Alligator mississippiensis: one gene and its partners. The protein of the gene in region 2 interacts with the protein of the main gene of each other region in a pairwise test. Links are inferred from orthologs where the notes say so. Each region holds a gene or a part of one and is shown on either strand. Other genes may lie near its edges.

Region 1 (3,738 bases), on a different chromosome or scaffold from region 2:
TATATCCTCCAAGTGCATGATTTAAATGCAGCCCCCTGGCTTGGGGTCCTGACCTGTGACCTCAGAGCACCCCGGAGCATAGCCTGTGGGTTCTGCGATGGCCTCAGCCAGGGTCCCAGAGGAGCAGAGCTCAGGACCCCAGGGGGGTGGGGGTGCAGAATGCAGCCAGCCAGGCCTCCCCTTGGCTGAAATGCAGCCACCTCTGGGGAGCAGCCAGGTGGCTTGTGTGTGTTGGAGGTGGGGCAAGGCCCCATGGCAAGGGCAGTGCTGTGGGTTTGGGCTTGGATGAGGCCACGAGGAGCACAGTTGTGTGTTTGGAGGCTGGGGGTTCAGACCGCCAAGGTGCCTGGCTGGGGGAAGCTGAGGAAGGTACTGTGGTGGCACTGGGGGAAGTTGTGGGGAGCTGCATCATGTGTGCACGTGTATGCATGGGTCCCAGGCTGGGGTGGGGGCTCCTCTCCTGCTCTGCTGATGCCCCCCACCCCAGCTGTGCCAGTGCCCCTCACTCCTGACCCACAGTCCCCCCATCTGCAATCCCCCCACTCCAACTGTGCTGGTGCCCCTCACTCCTGACCCACAGCCCCCACATCTGCAATCCCTTCAGCCCAGCCATGCCGGTGCCCCTCGCTGCCGACCTGCAGCCCCCTTCTCATCCCCCTACAGCTGTGGGGAGTTGGACCCACTTTCCCTGCTGTACACCCCCACTCCCTTGCAATGGGGCCTGTTCCCTGCAATGCTCCCTTCAATCCAAATCTCCCCTTGGTGCCCAGGGGCTGTGCCCAGGGGTGCCCAGATGTTGGACAGCTCCTGCCTGGGCTGGGCTGGGCTGGGCTGGGCTGGCTGCAGCTGTCTAGGGAGGAGGGCTCTGACAAGCTCCTCCCTGCAAGGCTGGACATGCCGTTGCCTTTAAGCCGGGCAGATGCCTGCACACCCATGCTGGCCACCGCCTGCCCGGGCAGCAGGTGCACGGAGCGCTGGGGACCCGCTCCGGGCACCGGGGCCCACCATGCTGCCCGCCTGGCTGCTTCCGCTGTGCTGCCTGCTCCTGCCCTTGGGCTGTGCCAGCCCCTGCCCCAGGGGCTGCAGGTGCTTCGGGACCCTCCAGCTCCAGTGCCTGGAGCCCAGTGGCCTCCGCAGCCTGGCAGAGCTGGCAGGGACGGAGAACTTCACCGACGTGTGAGTACCTCGGGGGTGTGGGGGAGGCAGGCCAGGTGGGGAGCTGGAGACCCAGGAGATCAGGAGGGCTTGGGAGTGCCCAGGGTGGGGTCACAGCCAGCCTCCCCTGGTCTGTGCCCCCTACTCTGCTCCATCCCTAGGAGACATCGTGCCGGCAGTGGAGGGGCACCCCCAGCTAGGCTCAGGCCCTGGGGGGTGGGCTGCCGTCATCCCTGGCCACCTTGGAGCCGTGGGAGCAGTCCCGTGCCCAGGCGTTGTGCTCAGGGTTGCTCCTGCTCCTTGCCCCCCACCCTGCATCCACCCTGGGCAAAGCCAGGGATGGACAGGGCAGGGCAGGGCAGGGCTGGTAGTGGGGAGGTGGCCATGGGAGCCAGCCCCCCTTCCCGCTGCAGCTCCCAGCACCACCAGGCATGTGGCCACCACCAGCCCCTTGTGCCCTGGGGGACAGACATGGTAAGGGGGAGGCTGGCAGCCCGGACACTTGGGTTCTGCTCCCAGCTCCGGGAGGGGCGCAAGGTCTATGGGAGACTGGACACTTGGGTTCCTTCACTGGCTTTTGGGCCCTCGAATCCCATCCCCGGCTTGCCAGCTCCCCTTGGCTGGGGCCATGCCTCGGTTTCCCTTTCTGGGGTGGGGCTGAACCTGGCGGGCGCTGCCAGGCCTTTGTTGCGCAGCGGCTGGGAGGGGCAGGGCACTTCCAGAGTGGGCTCCTCTGCCTGCCCCACGTGCAGGCGGCTTTGTGTGCTGCATTTATGGCCTCTCCTGAGCCCCATGCATCCATGCCAGGGGACATCCCCCTTACCCCAGGCAGCTGTCACCCCCCAGCTCATCCCACCCAAGGGGCCGCGGTGCCACGCAGAACAGGAGCAAGGCCCTGAGATCCGCACCCAGGACTCACCCTCTAGCCTCGTGATGCAGCTGCCCCACCCTGCTCGGGCACGGGGATGGAGGCTGGGTGGGGCAGAGGCTCCCAGGAAAAACCCAGGGCCCAGCCCCTGAGATGGAGCCCAGGAAAGTCGCCCCGGGCTGCGGGGTCCTGAGCCCCAGGGGATTCGCATGGGTCTGGGGGATCGGGACCCTTCTCCCTTCCTCTGTGGTTTGTAGAAGGTTATCGAGGGGTTTCCCAATGCTGTTTGCATTGGGAAGAGTCATTCACCACCCCTGCAGCAGAGCCTGGTGCCCGAACATGGGGGCAGGCGGGGGGGATGGTGCTGGGTTCAAGGCTGGGACATCTTGGGGTGGGGGGGTCCAGGGAGCAAGGGAATTGCTATTTGTGGGCCACAGGCAAAGGGGGAATCCAGCCATGGGACATGGATCACTGTGGAGTGGACCCGGACCAGCGCCCAGCACAGCCCCACTGGCAAAGTGCCCTAATGCAGCCCCAAGCTGGTTTCAGGGGAAACTGAGGCACCATGGCCCTCCACCCCAGTGAGAGCAGGGGCATCGGCGGCTGGGGACAGATGCTCCATCCAGGCCTGGAGCAGCTGGGAGGAGCAGAATAATGAGGGAAGAAGCCCCTTTATGGCCCCATCCATCAGCCCCCAGCGCTGCCTGCCTCCTGTCACCCTGCCCGGGGCCCGATCCTGCTCACGGCCTTGCTGCTTCCCAGGGTCATCGAGAACCAGAGGGCGCTGAGCCGCCTGACATCGGATGACATCAAGGCCTTCCGGGAGCTGAAGAACCTGTGAGTATCCCTGGCGCGTCACACGCGCGTGTGCAAGGGGGCGGGTTGGGGGCAGATCCCCTGTCCCAATACACCTCCCCCATGAAGCCTGCAGAGACTGGGGGGGCAAAGGGAGATGCAACCCCTGGGAACCAGCCCCCGGGGCTATCGAGAGCCGCCTCAAGGCTGCTCCAGCAGGTGCTCGGGTCTCCCATGCACCCGGCTCTGGTGCATCCACGTGACCTCCTGGGTTCCCCAAATTGCCCCCTCCATGATGCTGGGGTGGGGGGTGTGGCCTCCCCTTGCTCATGGCAGTCCCTCTGCCTCGTAGTACCATCTCTGGCTCAGGGCTGCACTCCATCACCGAGGACGCCTTCCACGCCACCCCCAAGCTCAGCTACCTGTGAGTCCTGGGGACTAAGATGGGGCCTGTCCTGCCTCCGTCTGTGCATCGCGGGTACCGGCCTCCCCCTCCCTGTGTGTCGTGGGGCGAGGGATTGATCGGGCACAGCTGTCCCTGCGCTGGAGAGCAATGCCGGCTGCAAAACTCAATCTGCCGGCAGCTGGGGCTCGGGGAGGGGGAGGCAGCTCGGGGGGAAGTGCTGCTCTGAGCTGGGGCAAGGCCCAGGTGCCCCCGGTGATGCCCCCTGCCCAGCTTGCTGGGGCAGATCTTGCTCCCCTTTTGCCCTTCTGTAAGTGCCCCCTTCTCTGGGGTGTTTGTAGCTGTGTGGGTGGTGCAGGGGAGCAATAGCAGGGGCACTCATTGCATGGGGGCAGGGCGTGAGAGACATCCCAGATGGTGGGCAGGGCTGGGGTCCTCGCAGGTGCTCTGGGGTTCCATCTCCCTGTGCCTCAGTTTCCCCTCCTGGGGCAATGGGGGTTGCAGCCTCACTGAGGTT
Region 2 (3,738 bases):
CCCATGTGCAGACGGGGCTGCCGGCTGCGCCCCCCCCACACCCCGGCGCGCCGCATCCGCCCCAGGTGATGCTGCTGCACCCACCCCAGACCCATGGTGGGCCCCCGCAGGGTGGCGTGCCCCAGAGTGGCGTGCCCACCCTCTCAGCCTCCACCCCCACCCCCTACACCTATATTGGTCACCATCAAGGTGAGTGGGGCTCTGCCCGAGGGTGCCTAGGGGGCTTTCTGGCCTCCCTCTGATACCCACCACTAATACCCGCTTCTCTTCCCACAGTTCAGTCCCACCCGTCCCAGCAGCTGCCATTCCATCCCCCTGGGAACTGACGCCTCCGGTCCTGGCTGTGAACTGAGATGTGTCCAGTGCAGCCCGGCCCAGCCCGGCCCATTGCACTGGGGGAGCAGGGGGCACCACCAAGCACCTTTGGGGGGGAGGGGGGAGTGGCGTTTTTAGAGGTGGGGCTGGCGGATGTCAGTCACTGCCCCCCTGCGGCTGCCCCCATGCCAGCCTTTTATTTCCTATAATTTATAAGGGGGGTCAGGCTGCGGCGGGTGCCGCTGGGGGGCCGTTGCTGTTGGGAGTGGGGGGCGGGGTGGTCCTGTGGGCTGTTCTTGTTTTTTTGGGGTTTCTTTGGGTTTTTTGCCCCCCCCCCAGCTCCCTGCTCCCCATGCTGGGCTGGGCCGGGCTAGGCCGGGCCAGGAGCTGCAGCCACGGGAACGATGCGCCTGGGCCTAGTTACAAAAAAAAATTAAAAAGGGAAAAAAAATACAAAAAAATGTAAAAAACCGAAAAAAATTAAAATTTTAAACTAACTCCAGCTCCTGCTTCGCGCTGCTTTGTGTGTGTGTGCGCGCGCGTGTGTGTGTGTGTGTGCTTGTGTGTGCACGTGTGCAAGGTCCTAGGGGCTGTGGAGGACTGCCCTGCAGGGGCCGGCTCGGCCGCCGCTCCGGAGATCGGCCCTTCTAGCCGCCGCTCGACCATGGCTTTTCCTTGGGGGGGCGGAAATGTCCTGGTCACACCATGGCGCATGCGCGCGGCGGCCGGCCCGTGTAGGCCCACCCCCGGCTCTGGTTCCCGGCCGCTCTTCTGTCAAGGCATTCCTGCCTCTCGGTGGTGCAGCGCTTTCGCTCTGGTACCAGCGAGGCTCCTCTCTATGGTCGCGGCGGCTGCCGGAAGCCGCTCTATCCCGCGGCTCAGCTCCTCTCCATGGTGCCGGAAGCCCCGCGACCCCGCCTGCGCCAAGCAGAAATGGCGTCATCAACCTGGAAACGCTGCTGTGCAGCCCCGCTGGGGATAAGGTAACCCGGAAGTGGAAGTCGCGGTGGGTGCTGGGAAGGGAGGAACCCGGCAGCGGAAGCGGCGGGTGGGCTGGGTCCGGGCCTAGACCCCCCCCTTCCCCCCACGTCCCCCCGCGCCCCGAGCCGCCGCCGACACCCGCGAGCAGCCGCAGCCGCCGGGCGGGATGGTGAGGGGCAGGGGTGAGGGGCACCGCTGCGTGGGGCTGCGGGCGGGAGCGGGGGGCATTGGGTGGGGAAGACCCCTCTTGTGTCCGTGTGTCCGTCCCGCAGGTGAGCACGGCCTTCGCGCCTCTCTCGGCACTTGCAGCGCCAGCACCAGCACCAGGCTCCGCAGGGGCCGCGTCCACGTTGCTGCCTGCGCCCTCGTCCTCGCTGTCGCGGCGGCGGTGGTGGCCGGCGGGGCCCTGGCGCCCGGCCTGTCCCGGGTTGGCTGCCGCAGGAGCCGGCACCGGCGCAGGGGGCGCAGCAGCGGGGGCAGCGGGGGCGTCATGAACGGCGAGGCTGCGGGCCCCGGCCCCTCGGTCCCGGCCCCCTTGGCCCTGGCCCTGCCCCCGCCCTCGTCGCCGGGCTGGCGCGACTTCTGCGAGGCTCACGCCCGCGCTGCCGCCATGGACTTCGCCCGGCGCTTCCGCGCCTTCGTGGCCGAGAACCCGCGCTTCGCTGCCCCGGGGGCCGAGGCCGCTTTCTCCCGCCGCTACGCCCAGAGCTTCCTGGAGCACTTCCAGGCCGAGCTGCGCGGGGCCGAGGCGCCTCCCTCCGGCGACCCTGCTGAGACCTGCAGCGACTCGTCTCCGGGGGAGCTGGCGCCTGCCTCCGGGCTCTCCAGCAGCCAGTCACGCAGCTCCGAGGACGTCTCCGCGGCGGCCGGCGTCCCCCCACCCAGCACCAAGCCCAAGCTGAAGAAGCGCTTCTCCCTGCGCAGCGTGGGGCGCTCTGTGCGGGGCAGCGTGCGCGGCATCCTGCAGTGGCGCAGTGCCCCTGACACCCCCCCGCCCACAGCTGCCGGGAGCCCCGAGGACGGGGCTGCCGGGGGCAGCAACACGAACTCAAACTCTTCGGGCGGGGCAGAGGGGGAGCGCTGGACCCACCGCTTCGAGCGGCTGCGGCTAGGACGGGCTGCCCCTGCGCTGGGTAACAGCCCTGCCGCCCCCGTGCCCGCTGTGCGCCGCGAGGGACTGCTCAACTACATTGTGGCTGACGACGGGGCCGGGGCGGGGGCCGGGGGGCGCCCCCCGCGCTGGCAGAGGTGCCGGCTGCTGCTGCGGCAGGCAGGCAAGGGCGAGGGGGAGGGCTTCCTGCTGGAGTTCTTCGTGCCTCCAAAGGTGAGGGGCCAGGAAAGGGCTGCGGGTCGGGAGCGAGGGGCGCCGCTGTGGGTGGTTAGGGAGCTGTGGGGCAGGAGTGAGGGGCACCAGCAGCACTTGGAGTCCCAGGTTCTTTTGGTGGGAGGCTCCCCTCTCGGCCCTCGGGGCTGTGGGGCCGCTCACGCTGATTTCTCTCTGTCCCTACAGTCGACTAAGCCGCGGGTGAGCGTCCCTTGCAGCGCTGTGACGGCCGCTCGTGCCACCACGCCCCTCGAGATGCCTGACCGGGAGAACACCTTCGTGCTGGAGGTAGCGGGAGGGTCCAGTGTGGGGGCTTTGTGGGGCAAGGAGGGTGACGCCAGGGGGCAGTGGAGGTTAGGGGTCATGGTCTGACCCCTATGTGCCCCCTGCGGCAGGCAGGGCTGGCAGGCGAGTTTATCCTTGAAACCGTGGATGCACTACAGATGCGCTCGTGGCTTGTTGACATCCAGGACTGCCTCAGCCCCAGGTGAGTGCCGTAGCCCCGGTCCCTCAGATCTTCCTGGGCCCCCGACCCATTTTAGTTCCTCTTCCAGATCCTGACACTTTTCCCTTTGACTTCTCCAGGAGCTTTCTGCACTCCCCAGGTTTCTCCTGGCCTTCCTTTCCCCCCACCCCCGCGCATACCACTAGACCCTTGCACAGGTTTTGGGGTCCTCTCTGGCGCTGGGGCAATGCTGGGTGGGCGGGAGTCTTATGCACATAGATGCCTCCATGCTTACAGCGGTGTCCTGTTTGCAGGGAGGAGATGGGCAGTGCGGACCCCCCGTTCCTCAACCACCACACAGGGGGGCTGCCCAGCCGGGACCCTCCCCTGGTGCCCAGCGACAGCAGCGAGCAGCTCTCCCAGGGTGAGTACATGCCCTCAGTTCCCAGCAGTGCCCCACACTTCTGTCCTCTGGCCCCCCACAGCCACGCTTCTCGTTCCCAACCCACAGAACCCCCTCCCAGCAGCACTTTTTATTTCTAATCAACAGCCTCCCCCAGCGATGTCTCTCACTTCTGACTTGCAGCCCCCCAATGCTATTTCTTGGGGTGTCATGGGGGATTACACGTGGGCACTCATCTCGTCCACCCACAGGTGCCTACGGGGGTCTGTC
Region 3 (3,738 bases), on a different chromosome or scaffold from region 2:
ACCGTACACGGCAAGCCCGCGCTCTAGAAAACTGCTGCGCTGGCTGCAGGACGTACGAGCTGGCCACGGCGGTGGCTGCGGGACTTCCCTGCCCTCGGCTGTGCCGCCGTTCTCCTTTCTGTCGTCGTTTTGGTTGTAGCTTCTGCCGTCGGAGCCAGCCTCGACGGAGCCTGGTCGGAAACGGGCGGCTACGGAAGAGGGCTCGACGGACTCGGATGAAGCCTTGAGGTGAGAAGCTAACGCTGCCCGGCCCTCCTTCGCATGTTTGAGCTGCTTTATTGGTGCTGTTGGCAGCGCTCTGACGCGGGGAGAGGCGACGTGTTGCGTGTCCCGGCTCCTGGCAGGGCCCTTGCAGCTCCGCTGCGCGTCGCGGCGTGATCCCTGCGCGGCTGGAGGCCTTGCTTTCCCCTCCGTGCTGTTTTCAGGAAGAGATTTCAGTCCTGGGCTCTTTGGGCTAACTAGTCTCGTCGAGCTTCCTGGTTCGTGCTTTGTTGTGAACACAAAAGGCTCAGCCCAGATCAAAGGCTGCAACTGGAACAATCTGAAATGAAAGTGCTTTGAGGGTGGTTTTTGTGACGGTTCGGAGCGGGCAACATCAGGTGCGCTCTAGTCCTGCCATCACACGCACAGGGCTGGGCCGCGGCGCGGCAGGGCGCGTCTTGCTCTGTCCCTCGGGCCTCGCCGCCCCTTCTGCGCGCGGGCCGCGGCGGTCAGCGCTGGGCCTTGCGCTGCTGGGCCGTGCCGGGGGTGGGGTGGGGAGCCCGCCTGGGGACCGGCCTTCAGACCGGGCGCTCTCGTAGACTGAACCGCAGGCGTGCGCACCGCTGCGCTGCTATGGAGCTAGCATGTATTTTTCTTTTCGCTTGCAGCAAGAAGCAGTCATTTTAGATAGAACAAAGAGGAACAGGATTGTCCCCAAACTGCTCCGTGCTTGGTGGTAGACGGATTACTCCCTGAGGGCAGGGGGCCGGGGCGGCGAGCACCCCCGCAGCGCGGGCGCTTGCTCCGGCCTCGGGGCGCCCTGCCCTTCCCTTCCCCTTCCCGGCGGCCTGGAGCCGGAGCCGGAGCCGGAGCCCCTCCTGGCTGGAGCAAGGCCGGCGCTGGCGGGAGGGGCTTGGAGGCGGACGCCTGAAGTAACAGAACAAGGCAGCCCCCGCCGGCCTCGGCCTCGGCCTCGGCCTGTAGCCTCGGGGAGAAGCGTGGCAGCAGCGCGGCTCTGCCCGGGGCAGCACGCGGGGCCAGGCCCGGGCCGGGGCTCCCGCCAGCAAGCGGCAACGCGCTGGTGCCAGCCGGCCCACACACGGCCTCGCGGGCCCACGGGCGGGCGGGACTCGGTCTAGCAAGAGCCCGGCGCTGCACAACCCTTCGCACCCCGCCGGGGCCGGGGCCGGGGCCGGGGCGAGGCGGGAGGGGGCTGCGGGCCGCCTCGCGCCGCTGCGGGAGCCCGGGCCGGGCCCGTGGGCCGCACACGTGCCGGAGGCGGAGGCGGAGGCGGGGCCGCTTGGGAGCGGCAGGTGGAGGCGGCTGGGTCTGCCCCGCCCGGGCCTGCTGGGCTCGGCTCCGCTCCGCCCGGCTCCGCTCCGCCTCTTGGCGCGGCCCGCGGGCTGACGGGGCGCCCCGTGTGCAGTGGCGCGGCCCGCGGGGAAGGCGCCGCGCAGCCCGGCCGAGCCGAGCGGAGCGGTGCGGTGCGGTGCGGTGCGGAGCGGCGGCGATGCGGGTGTGCTGGTGGCGGCGGCGGCGGCCCGGCGCGGCGCGCGGCCTGTGAGGAGCGGCGGGGCCATGGGGCCGCGGGCGGCGGCGGCGGCGGCGCTGGCGGTGGCCGTGGTGCTGGGGGCCTGGTGTGGACACGGCCGCGGCGACAGTGAGTGCGGGCCGGGGGAGGGCGGCGGCGGCGCGTCCCTGGGCCGGGCCGGGCCGGGCCGGGCCGGGCCCACCAGCGCAGCGGCCGCCGCCGGGTGTTGAGCCCGCGGCGCGGTGGGTCAGGGCGGGCTCGGGCCGCGGGCTCCCGCACTGTCCCCGGCGCCCTGCTCCACGGGCGCGGCCCCCACCCCACCCCACCCCACCCCGGCACAGGTCCATGCACACACGGCGCTGCCGCTCGCTCGCTCGCTCGCTCTCGGGCCCGGGGGCCGGTGTCCTGCTCCGGGCCAGCCGGCCGGCCGGCCGCGCACAGGTGGGGAGACGAGGGGCGATGGTGCCCGCCCGCCCGCGGCAGCGCCGTGTGCCTCTCCCCGTCGGTCCCATGTGTTTCGGGGCACCGGGAGCTCTCCGAAGGTGAGGGCCCGCATTGAAGGCTTTGGGATGGCTGGCTACAGGTGGCTGCGGCGTGGGTTGAAAACAGCCAGCTTCTCAAATGCAAAGACCTGAGCGTGTTGGAGGGCGACAGCGCGCACGCCTGCCCACACGCGCACAGAGCTCTTGTGCAAATTGACGCACGACACTCTGGAGAGCGAGCTCTGGCGCGACGGCTGCCCCTGCCGCCTGCCTTGCCCTGACACACACGTCTCCTGCGCGACGTCCCGCGCGCGTCGCGGACGGCAGGGAGAGTCTACGCCGCAGGGACGCGCACGGGTTGCTCCTGATCCCCGCGCTGGACTCGTGTCGCTGCAGTCTTGTGTTCGCCAAGCTTCTCACGAGAGTCTTGCACGCGGCCTGGCTGTACGGGGAGTTTCAGTCCGGAGGAAAGCTTCCTTCCCTGGAGGTTAAGGCGGGCCGTCGCCATCGCTCTGATCCCAGCCTGCCTCGGCGCGCTCGTGGGACTCCTCGAAGCGTCCCCGTAGCGTGGGCCGCTGCCCTCGGCGCGCTGTGCTTGCGGGCGGACCGGGAGCGGCGGGATGAAAAGCCCGTGTGGCCAAGGACTACCTGCCGAGCCCGGAGGCAGCTGGCGGGGAAGGGCTGTCGGGCTTGCCCTGCCTCGGGCTCGGTGGGGTGGGTGGCCCTCGGCGGACCGGCTCTCGAACGCCTTGCCCAGTACACGCGGGGATGCCCGTTGCTCCGGCCTGCCCTTCGCTTTCACGGAGACGAGCGTAACAGAGGCGTTCTTATTTCTCCGACAACCCTAAAAGCGGTAGCAGCTCCCAGGGCTCAGCTGAGCCTTTCGGGCTGGGCTGCGGAGTCTGCAACCAGCACAGAAGAAGCAGTCTCTTTGTCGGAGGAGGATTGGCCTTGGCTCAGCAGAGGTTTTTTTCCCCTTGCCCAGGAATAAAGACAGCAGCTGCCTGAGAGAGGTCATCTGAGGAGGCCAGGGGCATATAAACAGACTCTCACCTTCATCATAGCCTGGTCTGAGCATGCTTCACTGCCCAGGCCTCGCTAACGGGAGGAAAACAGTGCTTAAAACTAAACCTTGGTGTTTCATTCTTAGATCGTGTTTGTTAAAACAGTATGAAACGGGCCGGACCCCGGGTCTGAGCCCCTCCGGTTGAGGTCTTCCCTGGCCAGTGCCTGCCTCACGTCCCGTCTCCGCAGGGTGGAGACCATCACTCGAGAGCCACGAGCACTTGTGAAAACCGGACTGAAACTCGCTCGTCGTTTATAGAAGCTCGGCCCCCTTCCCACGTACGATTCCTGGAAACCAGAAGTGCAGGGAAGTGCCAGGGGTTTAGGCTGATCCGAATGGCTGCTGTTATCCACACGCGCGAGCAGGTTTTAAATACTCCAGTCAGCAAAACAAATTGTCTTCATGTGCAGTGCTGGGTTATGCGGGACTCTGGATATGGGCCGGAGCCTGTTGCGGCG

Evidence for each region.
Region 1: the proteins of SH2B1 (region 2) and NTRK1 interact in a two-hybrid assay, tested with the Homo sapiens proteins (2 studies listed by BioGRID). The link is inferred for Alligator mississippiensis from reciprocal best matches to the Homo sapiens genes SH2B1 and NTRK1.
Region 3: the proteins of SH2B1 (region 2) and INSR interact in binary tests that used the Homo sapiens proteins (3 or more experiments, as listed by UniProt). The link is inferred for Alligator mississippiensis from reciprocal best matches to the Homo sapiens genes SH2B1 and INSR.

Annotation. Positions count from the first base shown.
Region 1 is NC_081838.1:16,615,915-16,619,652, reverse strand, and holds the start of NTRK1 (high affinity nerve growth factor receptor), read left to right. Parts: upstream 1-908; 5' UTR 909-919; coding exon 920-1,176; intron 1,177-2,785; coding exon 2,786-2,860; intron 2,861-3,170; coding exon 3,171-3,242; exon of another isoform or gene 3,243-3,261; coding exon of another isoform or gene 3,262-3,296; intron 3,297-3,738. UniProt on the Homo sapiens protein: Receptor tyrosine kinase involved in the development and the maturation of the central and peripheral nervous systems through regulation of proliferation, differentiation and survival of sympathetic and nervous neurons.
Region 2 is NC_081830.1:185,137-188,874, reverse strand, and holds the start of SH2B1 (SH2B adapter protein 1), read left to right. Parts: upstream 1-1,213; 5' UTR 1,214-1,298; intron 1,299-1,348; exon of another isoform or gene 1,349-1,465; intron 1,466-1,568; 5' UTR 1,569-1,786; coding exon 1,787-2,620; intron 2,621-2,806; coding exon 2,807-2,908; intron 2,909-3,015; coding exon 3,016-3,107; intron 3,108-3,379; coding exon 3,380-3,489; intron 3,490-3,719; coding exon 3,720-3,738. Other genes in the region: ATXN2L (ataxin-2-like protein), read left to right, coding at 1-189, 277-326. UniProt on the Homo sapiens protein: Adapter protein for several members of the tyrosine kinase receptor family.
Region 3 is NC_081839.1:653,436-657,173, forward strand, and holds the start of INSR (insulin receptor), read left to right. Parts: upstream 1-1,578; 5' UTR 1,579-1,779; coding exon 1,780-1,861; intron 1,862-3,738. UniProt on the Homo sapiens protein: Receptor tyrosine kinase which mediates the pleiotropic actions of insulin.